Arabidopsis thaliana: one gene and its partner. The protein of the gene in region 2 interacts with the protein of the main gene of each other region in a pairwise test. Each region holds a gene or a part of one and is shown on either strand. Other genes may lie near its edges.

Region 1 (5,503 bases), on a different chromosome or scaffold from region 2:
ATATTGTTCGAAGAGCGAGACTCCGTGAATCTTACTACGGTACTTACGATAATTGTGATGACCATAATGATGTTGATGATGATAAGTTATATCATCAGCCCGCCCGGATGTCATGCGTTAACAGTTCCGATATTTTGAGGTGCGTCATGCTTATTTTTATATGTACTTAAGTAAATATTCTCATTAGGGACTCATGAGCTCTTACATATAGTTAACTTTTTTTGACATGCCACGTTAGTAATTAAGATGAATATTGAATAATGAATATAACGTATTCAAGAGGAGAAATAACGTTGGTTTCATGATTGATAATATGATATTCACCGGTGTAGATTTGAATGTACGAAACAAGTTATATGACTACATTTTAAAGTGTTTTTTTTTTTTTTTTTTTTTGAATTTTCTAGATTTCGTATACTGGTGAAATCTGTAGTGATATTTAAGGAATTACCGGAAGAAACAGAAATAATTTTATTGTGTATGATACTATGATCAATACTAATATCAACTTCTGTTTGTCTGCCGTTAAGGTCAGCAAGGAACGCGTTGAATCAGTACCCACGTTTCTCACTGGACGGTAAGGACGCTATGTACCGGTCATCCTTCCGGCGCCATCTTGGCACCAGTGCTGACATGACGATACAGGGTGGGCGGAGATCCCACTGCGGGGATCAACGGACATCAAAGAGATCGAGCCAGATGAGCTTGGAGACAAAACGCCTGCCACGGACAGTGGCCGGAGAGAGTGTGGTATGGTGCAAGACGGGGGTTGTTGCAAAGCTGATGGGTCTGGAGATGATACCTGTTCCGGACAAGGGAAAATCGGGAAAAGATAAGTTAGGGACTCTGCTCAAGAGGGAGCGTCTAAGGAGGAGAGAACGGACTCTGGACGTTAATGGTCGGACCGGTCCGACGACTGAAGCTTCTTGCTCGTCTGGAGGGTTTAACATTACTAGACCAATCGGAGCAGTTGGGTCGCCTAGTCGCATGGGTGGATGGCCCACAGCCCGTCTCCCATAGACTTACGATGCAAAACTAGCCCATTAAAAACCTTCATGTTATCTATAAATTTTCATTACTGATTGATTCAGTAACTTTCTATGTTTCTCATAAATCTTCTAGACTACATAATTAAGGATTTCCAAACCAAGCACACACATTTTTGTGACTCAATTAATTCTCTCTGAGCGAGAAATCTTAGGAAGCAGGCAAAAACACAGTATACAAGTTCTGTCTCAAGCTCAGATTTTGGTTTCAGACAGAGTTGGATGTTCGATGGACGAGAGTACACTGCGATTCAATTGGAAAATACCTAACAAACTTTGGTTGCGAAAACCCAAGAAATTGTGGATTTGTGTTGGATATATCAGACGGAAACTCCTAGGTCCGACATACCCATGATCCTTTTGTTCAATGCAATCCTCTTCTGTCTCAAAAGCGAAGTCATGGAAGCCACCTAATGATTTACGACAAAAGAATTTAATGAGACGTTCATAGCAATGAAGCTCAAACAATGGGCGAGAAGAAAAAAGTCAGACTCACTTCAGCTCTAAGCTTGATAGCATCCCTTCCAGGAATTTGCCGAAGTCCGTCCATCAAATCTGCAGCGAATAGAACTCTTTGTGTAAGTTGAAATCTGACGTAGTGGCATTATCAAAGATACCATTTGAAGGGAGAAGGGAGAAGTGAGTAAAAATAAATCTTGTTCAAGATTACCAGCAGCTTCACATTCAGCTTTGTGGACGGACTTAGCAAGACGATGTATATCGTTTCCAGAGTTCCTATAGATATAACAGTAGTACCCATATTAACATAAATGATGTCAATAACTTAATAAAAGAAGTGGGAGCGTCCATGTTGGGGCATACATGAGCTCAGAGAGACCACGTTTCATATCCTTCTCTGCTAAAGCCGTCCTCTCAAGCAATTTCCTGCTCTCCTTTTTCATCAAGTCTACAGACATGTTTAACTCCTGAACATGCTTCTCAGCTTTCAAGAATTGTGCCTGAAGCGACGATGATTTTGAAGTGGATGTAAAAATAAGGGAAGGGACACAGACCAGGGCAACTAAGCATAACAACGTTAAGAAATAAATTTGAAGCTGGTATAGTATATACCTCTTCGCTCTGAAATCGGCCTAGTGTATTACGAAACAAGAATCTTCTTGGGCCTGTAAGTCGAACAATAGAAAACCAAATTCATACAAGACACATATAAGTAAAACAGATGTAATACCATTTGGATGCTCCTACGGGAAGGAATCTTGTAAGTTGTAAAAGTGATAAGAGAGTAGAGGTTATACCTCGCATCAGAACGAGACTAGCAGCGACACCAATCCCAATAGCAGCAGCCGGATGCTCTTTTGCGTATATCAATTCGTCTGCGAGGATAACAAAAGCAGCAGAGGATACGAGGATTGATTAATCGGAATGACATGAAGATTCTAGTTTCAGAACACTATAAGATGCACTACAAGTATATATAAAAGTTTTGTGGCAGCTATCTGTTATATCTCAGTTTGATCTAAAATACTCGTTCCTAAGCATTACAGTAGTCTACCAGTATAACTTTTTCACGAAAATTGGCTGCAAGATACCTGTAACTTTACTGAAGAAAGCATTCTCATAGGTCTTATACTGAGTCAAAGCATGTGGAATGAAATCCTGCAATTTCAGAATCAAATGTAAGATTGTATGAGAGAAGACGAAGACATATACATACATCTAATGGAACTGTGATTTCAGCCAGATAGGGTCTACTCCATATCACACATCATTAAGCTACATGAATATCTGATATCATATAAAAACATTGTTTAGAGAATAATCAAGAATGCCTCAGCGATACATTACAGTCTTCTAAACAACCATTTGAAGCAGAATCAGAACCCAGGAAGAGACTAAGATCATTGCCAATAAGTTATAATGGTATGATTCAACAAGATTTTACCCATATGAACAAAAACTAGCACCATTCAATACATAAAACTGCTAATTGGAGAAATATCTGTTCTGAATCGAGCTCATTTCTAGAAATTATAGCTTACGAGATACTAAATTCCACCATATCCATGGTTTGAAATCCTGAAAATGTTTTTTGGTAAACAATCTCGATTCGCAAAAATTGTTTGGTGAACAAAAGAGAGATTAACTAACCTGTATAGAGCGGAACTGAGAGGTAGAATTTTCACGGAGGGAACGAGCAGAACGCATTGCGGTATCCTTCGATTCCTTCACCGTCCGTTGCAAATCACCCACCCATTTCTCTGCTCCTTCTATGGCTCCTTCCACCGATTCAACCACTCCGATCGCTGTATGCTCCATCGCATCAGAAACAGTTTCAGTCTCAATCGCTGGAGCCGAATCATCGGTAACGCCGGTTGCTTCGGTTTCGCTCATCGTCTCCGATTTGCCTTTCTCGCACGGAGACAACGCCTTTTCTCCTTCTTTCAACTTCAACCGGTTCGATTCGGTTCAATTTGATTCCAAATTAGAAGTTGGTTTTAAATGGTTAAGATAGACCCGGCTCCTTTATATATCAGTTTGCGGTTAATGGGCTTTAAGATTGGGTCTGCGAACTATACATTACATTCCCTTTTCTTCGTCTTCATCTTCGTCTTCCTTTCCTCCTTCATTCCTCTTTTCTTCGTCTCCCACCATTTCTGCAGAAGAAGACAAATAAAAAAGCTCTCATTTATCTTCGTGGAGATCTAAAAGAAGGAGGAAGACATTTCTTCCCTCTGGATCTCCAAAAGTAAGAACATTTACAAGGTTTGTTTTTGTATTTGTTTTGTTTTAATTACTCCATGAGAATTGAGAGTTTTCTTTTCATGGATTAGCCCTGATTTCTATTGTTATCTCTTTATAGAGGCAAATTTTGGTTGATCTGTTTATTCGCATTTGCATAGAAAGCTTGCGTTTTGTTGTCTGAAACTTGAGCTAATGATGTTGGTGAAGATGATATTATCCTCTTTTTAGTGAAACTTTTGGGAATACCATTCTCTTTATTTAGATCTGATGAAACAAAGGTCGAAACTTTATAGGTTTGCTTCTTCATGTTTTTTTTTTTGTTGTTCTTCTGGTTGTTTCAGAAACGAGAGGTTTGGGTGGGGAAGGAAAGAAGGAGGAAGAGGCAATGTCAGCTAGGTATTGGTGTCACATGTGTTCACAAATGGTGAATCCAGTTATTGGTGCCGAGATCAAATGCCCCTTTTGCCAAAGCGGGTTTGTCGAGGAAATGAGCCGTGAGATTAATGGCGGCAGCAGTAGCAGTCTAAGGGAGGTTCAAGACCCTGAGATTGATTTTGGTACAGACCGTGCATTGTCTCTATGGGGTCCAATCTTGCTTGGAATGATGAGTAATCCTCGTAGACGTAGAAGGTTTAGGAGGACAGAGTTTGGTGTGGATAATGATGAGGTCAATGTATCTGATGATGTTGATGGAAATGACAGCGTCGATATTGATCGACATCATCATCGTCGTCATCGCCACAGGCAACAAGGTAGAGAGATTGATTTAGACAGAGAGTTTGAGTCTATCCTTAGGAGGAGACGGAGAAGCTCAGCTACTATATTGCAGTTGCTTCAGGGTATTCGTGCAGGGATTGCTTCTGAGTATGAGAGCTCGGATCGAGACCTGTTAAATCAATCAGCTGTTGTTCAGGGTTCAACGAGTTTGAATCAAAACCGGAACAATACTTCTCTTTCTGCAATTGGAGATTACTTTGTTGGATCCAGTTTAGACCATTTGCTTGAACATCTAGCTGATAATGATTCAATCAGGCACGGGAGTCTTCCAGCACGTAAAGAAGTTGTGGATAATCTCCCAACGGTTAAGATAAGTGAATCATTGCAGTGCTCGATTTGTTTGGATGATTTTGACAAAGGAAGTGAAGCTAAAGAGATGCCGTGTAAGCACAAGTTTCACATCCGGTGTATAGTACCGTGGCTCGAGCTTCACAGTTCATGTCCCGTGTGCCGATATGAACTCCCTCCTGATGATGAGACCAAGGTTAATCCTGTAAGACCGAGAACAAGAACTCTAGAGATCAACGTAAGTAATGAGAATGTGGAAGATGATGCAAGGAACAGTAATGTGAGCGAGAGAAGGTTCTCTTTTCCATGGCCGTTCAGCGGATTATTCTCTTCATCCTCTTCGTCATCCGCATCGGCCTCGGGGTCATCTCATCTCGGTGAGAACTCGTAAACTGCTATTCCTCAGCTTATAGTACATAAAATCTTGTTCACTCAGATTGTTGAATACTGCATAACAAATAAACACTTTCGAGGAATGGAATCTTTTCTTTATTTGTATTATAATATCTGATGATCATTTGGGTTTCCGTTAAAAGTATCCCTTTTAATTTAGTAAAATATAAAAAGATGAACACAGGTATTTATGTTGAGAGGGAGAGGCATGTGACTGTGAGTATGGTTGTTGACTGCATGAATCGCATTATCTCCAAATACGAATCCCAAAGTTGTGTGATCACGAGCCAAATGTG
Region 2 (5,827 bases):
AATTTATAACCAATAATAACACAATTAATAAAGTTAAAAAATTATAACATCGTTGTTTTCTTTTAAAAATCTTCTCTTGATTGAAAAAACTAGGAAAATAACACATATACTGTTGAACACTCTTGATAAAAAAATCATATGGAGATTTTTTCAACTTTAATTTCATTTTGACTTCCAATAAATTTAAGCCTAATACTATTTAATACCATTAGCCTGAATGCAATCACAATCTCTAGCTCACGTACTGCTCAGCTAAACATGATTATACTAGATATAATTTTGAAGTACAAATACTAGCTAATCAAAAGAATTTAGAGGTAGCCTAGTCGAAGCTCCAAATCAAGAACTTGGTTGGGATTCCTCAAACTCATCCCAAGCTCCAACCCCATGACTTGATCATCTTTCTTATTCATCAGATCCCCACGGCTTATCTCACATCTTACTGAATGACATGCATCGATGGCACTTTTCTTGATCTCTCTGCTACATACATTGCTCTTGTTCTTCTCTCTGTCCATCATCAAACCTCCATAGCTAGTAGTACTGTCCAAAAGATCAAACCGGGCAGAAGGAAAAGGAGTGGTTTTGGATCTCTGGTTGGTTAGGGAAGGCTCAAGATGAGCTGTTGTTGTTGAAGAGGAAGAAGAAGAGCTAAAATTAGGGTTAGGGTTTGCAATAGGTGTGTGGTGGTGAGGTTCGAAGAGCCAAGAAGGGATCTGCCTGAGTTTTGCTCTGTCTCTTCTATGAACATTCATGTGGCCTCCAAGTGCTTGAGCAGATCTGAACTCTCTCCTGCAGAAGCTGCAAGTGTAATTCTTGGGAGGCCATGGGATCAGCCCAGCTTCGTAATTCTTGTAGTGATTCATGATGACTCTGTTGTCACCATTACCGTCTTCTCCTTCTTCTTCTTGGGTTTTGTCTCTGTTACTAAAACTTGCCAAATGTGTTCTCTTCATATTTTCCAACAGATGATGATCAATGCTGGTGGTGAATGATGAAGATAGTATGATACTCCCCTGCATGAAATAAACTAAGATGTTATGTATGTATATATTAATTCAAAAGTGAGAAAGAATAAGAGTGGGGGATGATGAAAACCGTATAGATAGAGATTTTTGAGTTTGATGAGGAACTAAGGAAGAATGTAACTACGGAGGAGTTACTATGTGTTATATAGAGTCAAAAGGGAAACAAAAACAGAAGGTGGTTTTTATCCTTACTTGAGGAAGGAGGTGCATGTACGGATGATCATTTATTAGGGTTTAAGTCTGTTACATGTTTGGTCAGATATATTGGAGAATAATGAGTATAGGCTAGGCTATGTTCGATTAGATATCATGAGTGGAAATTATTTAAAAAAATAAAATAAAAAGAGAGAAAGAAAGAGACAAAGAGGTAGTTTCATGATTAAGAGGGAGAGAAAGAGGAATTGAATAGAGGCTACTTAACTCATGATGCTCATATGCCTGCAATGTGTCTGCTTGTTACTATAATTGGAAGTTACTTGAGACCAATGTTATTGTGGTATGGGAACTCTGTGTTGCATTAATATTTTGTGTCAAAATCTTGCAGGGAGATAACTTGCCATTTCATTTTCATCATATTCCATCTCTGGCTCCACAAATCTCTTCATTATATATATTTGAACATCTATTATATACACACAAGATAGCCTAAAAATATGAACATGTGTTTAGTTTTTTGATATGGAGAGATTGTAGTGAATAGTGATGGAGGGCCAAAAGAAACCAAAACTATTACTAATTGATTTTGACATTGATTAGAAGAAACTGTAAAGGAAAGAAACAAGGCTTGTGTATGCATTAAGGACATAGACAATGACGTCCCTGATGTCTTCAGAGTTATTGCAGCTTATATCCATAACTAAGAAAACTTACATATTACTTTAAAACTAAGTAATAAACCAGTAACGCTAACAATCGTATGCCACATCTAGACAAGTGTAAACAAAATTGGTGGATATAGAATTATAACCCTATCAGCATATCAACTTTATGGGTTGAGGAACTCAATTTCGGTTGTCAAATATATATTGTGTGACAAATTTTAACTTATCAAATTTTATTCTCATTCCTTAATCAAGCATTAAAGTTTTCTCAATTGACCAATCTCTAAGAATTGAAAAAATAATCTTCATCTAGTTAATGCATATCTATTGAATTTGGAAAATTTAAAAGTTTTTTTTTATTAATTTTGTTTTTGGGAAAATCATAAAAGACACCCTCCCCTCAATAGAAGATGAAACGCGGCGTTTCATAAATAAAAACGAGAAAATCAAAATCGTCGCTCTCTGTTTGCTGGCGTAACTTAGCCTTGTTCTTCTTCTTCATCGCGATATCTCCGGTGTCTTCTTCGTCTCCATCAGAAGAAGAAGCTCTCTGTATCCATCCATATCGAAAAAGTATGAACTTTATCCGAATTTCTTCTCAATTTTATGGATTTATTAGTCAGACTCATGTTAGGGTTTTGTTCGATTTCATGAATTTAGGGTTGAAATTTTGCTTGTTTGTATAGACTCTAATGGAACTGATGGTTTGTTTTAGGATTGGGTTGATCTAAAAAAATGCTTTTTTGCTTTGTTGTTGTCGTGAATTCTGCTCAATACCTTCCATTAAGTAATCAGTTTTGGTTTGTGATGAATAGCCAGAGATCGGAGGAAGGAGAGAGAGATACCAATCTCTGTTGCTTTGGTTTTAAGGTAATGTGTTTGTTTCCTTCCTCATGAGAATCGGAATATTAAGGTATTTTGTGGTTAAGATTTTAGTTGATTTTTGAGAATGGTTTTGGTCAGGGTTTAGAGGAGATGTCAAACCACCCGAAGATCACATCGGCGCATCAGAATGTGGAGGAGAAGCTAAGGGAACTTCAGGAGAGGTTCTGTCATCTTCAAGCTGCTAGGAAAGAAGGGCGGCATGGTGACCTTGCGCTTTTAGAAGCCCAAATCTCTCAGAATATTCGGGAGTGGCAAGCTGAACTCACTGCTCCTTCTCCTGAATCTTCTCTGTTGGTTCGTCCTACTCCATTACCATACTTCTCTATGGTTTATGGTTCCAATTCTTTGAAAAATAGTGAATCTGTAAGCTTGGTTGAGATTTAGCTCTTTTGGTCTTTAACATGTTGCAGGGTGAAGGTATTAGCCAATTCCTTGAGGAGTTTGCTCCTCTGTTGAAATTAGACGAGGAGGATGATGCAACTAGTACGCTAAAAGAACATGCTGGAGCAAAGCCTGATCCTGAGGGTTTTTCTCAAAGCTTGTGCCCTCCTGAATGGACATCTGAGAATTTTAGTCAAAGTCCTTTCAACGGAAATTTCTCCTGCGGCTTTGAGGTGAGCTAGATACAGTTTCTGCGTCAAAATTGTCTTCTATAATCTTTTGATTGTTGGTTAGATGTTCCTAGACATTTGAACACCGTTGATTCTTTATTCCAGTTCAGCTATGAGTTTTGATCTTTTTCATTCTTGTCTTAGTTTTGATTTTGTTTCCTTATGTACAAGTTCACCTTTTCTATCTCAGGATGCTCTTAATAGCACAGAAACACATGGCCAGCAACTCCATTATGGATATGAAGGGTTTGATCCAAGCATAAACTCCGCTCCTGATTTCCATGACCAAAAACTCAGCAGCAACTTGGATATAACTTCTCAGTATGATTATATTTTCTCCGAAGTGCGTCAGGAACTAGATAACAGCCCTTCCACTAAGCTTGATTCTTCTGAAGAGATTGACAACTTTGCTGAATTTTCTACTCCATCAAGTGTCCGTGTGCCTCCATCTGCTTTTCTGGGACCTAAGTGTGCACTATGGGATTGCACAAGGCCTGCTCAGGGCTCCGAGTGGTACCTGGATTACTGCAGTAACTACCATGGGACTCTAGCTCTGAATGAAGATTCGCCTGGCACAGCACCTGTATTGAGGCCAGGGGGCATCAGTTTGAAAGATAATCTATTGATTGATGCTCTTCGTGCAAAGACTCAGGGTAAGAATGTTGGGATCCCAGTGTGTGAAGGAGCTGTTAACACAAAATGCCCATGGAACGCAGCAGGTGAGAGCATTGTCCCACTAGAGCCCAGTTTTGCTTCTCTCTTTGTTTTAGTTCAACATTTCGTTGCCTCTTTGAAAACAGAAGCCTTATGTGAGTTTCTTACTTTTGCCTGACCCTTAATTTTTTGTACTTGCAGAGCTATTTCATCTTGAACTGGTTGAAGGCGAAACAATTAGAGAGTGGCTCTTCTTTGACAAACCTAGAAGAGCATATGATAGCGGAAACCGAAAGCAAAGATCACTTCCAGATTACAGTGGAAGAGGTTGGCATGAATCAAGAAAACAACTGATGAAGGAACAAGAAGGCCAGAAGAGATCTTACTATATGGATCCACAACCTCCAGGTCCCTTTGAGTGGCATCTCTTTGAATACCAAATCAATGAATCTGACGCATGTGCGTTATATCGCCTAGAACTTAAAGTAGGAAATGGAAAGAAGAGTCCTAAGGGAAAGATTTCAAAAGACCCTCTGGCTGATCTGCAGAAGAAGATGGGACAGTTTAAAGTGGCTTCAGACAAACCCTCTCCTCCAACCAAAGGTCGTAAGGAGTGAAGTTAGCTATTGGTAATCTAACTCAAGACTCCTGCAACAATAGCTCCAAGTTGTCTCCAGCATTCTACAAAAGAGCCATCGCCACCTCTGTTTTCTTTTTTTTTTTCTTTCTGACTGTATTATGAAGAGATAGGATCTTTGATGTGTTGTGTTAATATGGACAAGTCTGGTCTTTGCCCTTTTTCTTGATAGAATCGTAGATGGGTTTGTAAATTTTTGCATTTTATTTTTCTCCTTTAAAACCACAAGGATTTTGTTAACGAAGTGGTGTATTCATATTTCAAAGGTACATTTGCAACACCATTGATTCTTTATTCCAATTCTTATCTACGTGTGTGTGTGAATGAAACTTGAAACCAATACAAGTCACTAATGCTCTCAGATTATGTAATTGGGCTTTACTGGGCCGTTTATAAAATTGGGCTAGAAAAAGGGAGACAGCAGACGACAAGAGCATCCTTGTTCTCTTTAAACCCTAAATTACAAGCAAATCACCAACAGAGAGAGTAATGGCGAAAAATTCTGGTAGCTCGTTTGAAGCAGAGAAATCAGAGGGAAAGTGTGTTACGACGACTACTGAAGCACAAGTAATTCAAAATTCTGGCTGATGAATTATGTATTTGATTTTACGTATTTGTAATTCACTAATTCTCACTGATTCATACAATTTGTGTCGTAAATGAACAGCAAAGTAGTCAACCTGTTTTGAGCAAGGAAGAGGAGAAAGTGAGAGATAGCTACTTGTTCTGCTGTGAAAATTTCTACACTCTTCCTGAGATGATCAATTTCATGAAGGAGATTCATGGTGTAGAACAAACCACTGTGACAAAGGTTTTCAGGGAACTTTTAAAAGGTAGAAAAGCTGAAGCATATCTCAGAGAATCTCAGAAAAGAATGAAGGCAAGAACAACAACAACAACTTGAACAGAGGAGGATGAGGCTTAGGTTGCTCTAATTTGAAATTCTTTGGTTTGGTTTACTGGTTAGTAAGAAATAGACTTGTATTGTCACATTTTTTTATCATATTTTGAGGTCCATTGCTTTGGGTGTATGGACCAGACTAGGACAAATGAATAGGAGATGCAAAAGGGTAATAATGGAGAAGTCAGTCTTGTTGGTCTATTCTTGTCCGAGTCCATGATTTTTAGAGGGAGAACTAGAAGGAGGAACTAAAAGTTGTTTAGGTTAATGGTTTAGGTGCTAAGTGTTGG

What was found. The genes of interacting proteins can lie anywhere in the genome.
Region 1: the proteins of VOZ2 (region 2) and AT4G26410 interact in a two-hybrid assay, tested with the Arabidopsis thaliana proteins (one large-scale study listed by BioGRID).

Annotation. Positions count from the first base shown.
Region 1 is NC_003075.7:13,344,655-13,350,157, reverse strand, and holds AT4G26410 (chromosome-associated kinesin), read right to left. Parts: upstream 3,505-5,503; 5' UTR 3,399-3,504; coding exon 3,156-3,398; intron 2,664-3,155; coding exon 2,597-2,663; intron 2,381-2,596; coding exon 2,303-2,380; intron 2,171-2,302; coding exon 2,118-2,170; intron 2,006-2,117; coding exon 1,869-2,005; intron 1,782-1,868; coding exon 1,717-1,781; intron 1,602-1,716; coding exon 1,543-1,601; intron 1,457-1,542; coding exon 1,367-1,456; 3' UTR 1,021-1,366; downstream 1-1,020. Other genes in the region: AT4G26415 (uncharacterized protein), read left to right, coding at 1-139, 531-1,020; AT4G26400 (RING/U-box superfamily protein), read left to right, coding at 4,135-5,205.
Region 2 is NC_003071.7:17,653,279-17,659,105, reverse strand, and holds VOZ2 (vascular plant one zinc finger protein 2), read left to right. Parts: upstream 1-2,242; 5' UTR 2,243-2,422; intron 2,423-2,664; 5' UTR 2,665-2,719; intron 2,720-2,812; 5' UTR 2,813-2,824; coding exon 2,825-3,028; intron 3,029-3,144; coding exon 3,145-3,348; intron 3,349-3,535; coding exon 3,536-4,064; intron 4,065-4,200; coding exon 4,201-4,616; 3' UTR 4,617-4,936; downstream 4,937-5,827. Other genes in the region: ZFP11 (zinc finger protein 11), read right to left, coding at 312-1,016, 1,221-1,238; AT2G42395 (uncharacterized protein), read left to right, coding at 5,126-5,203, 5,304-5,540.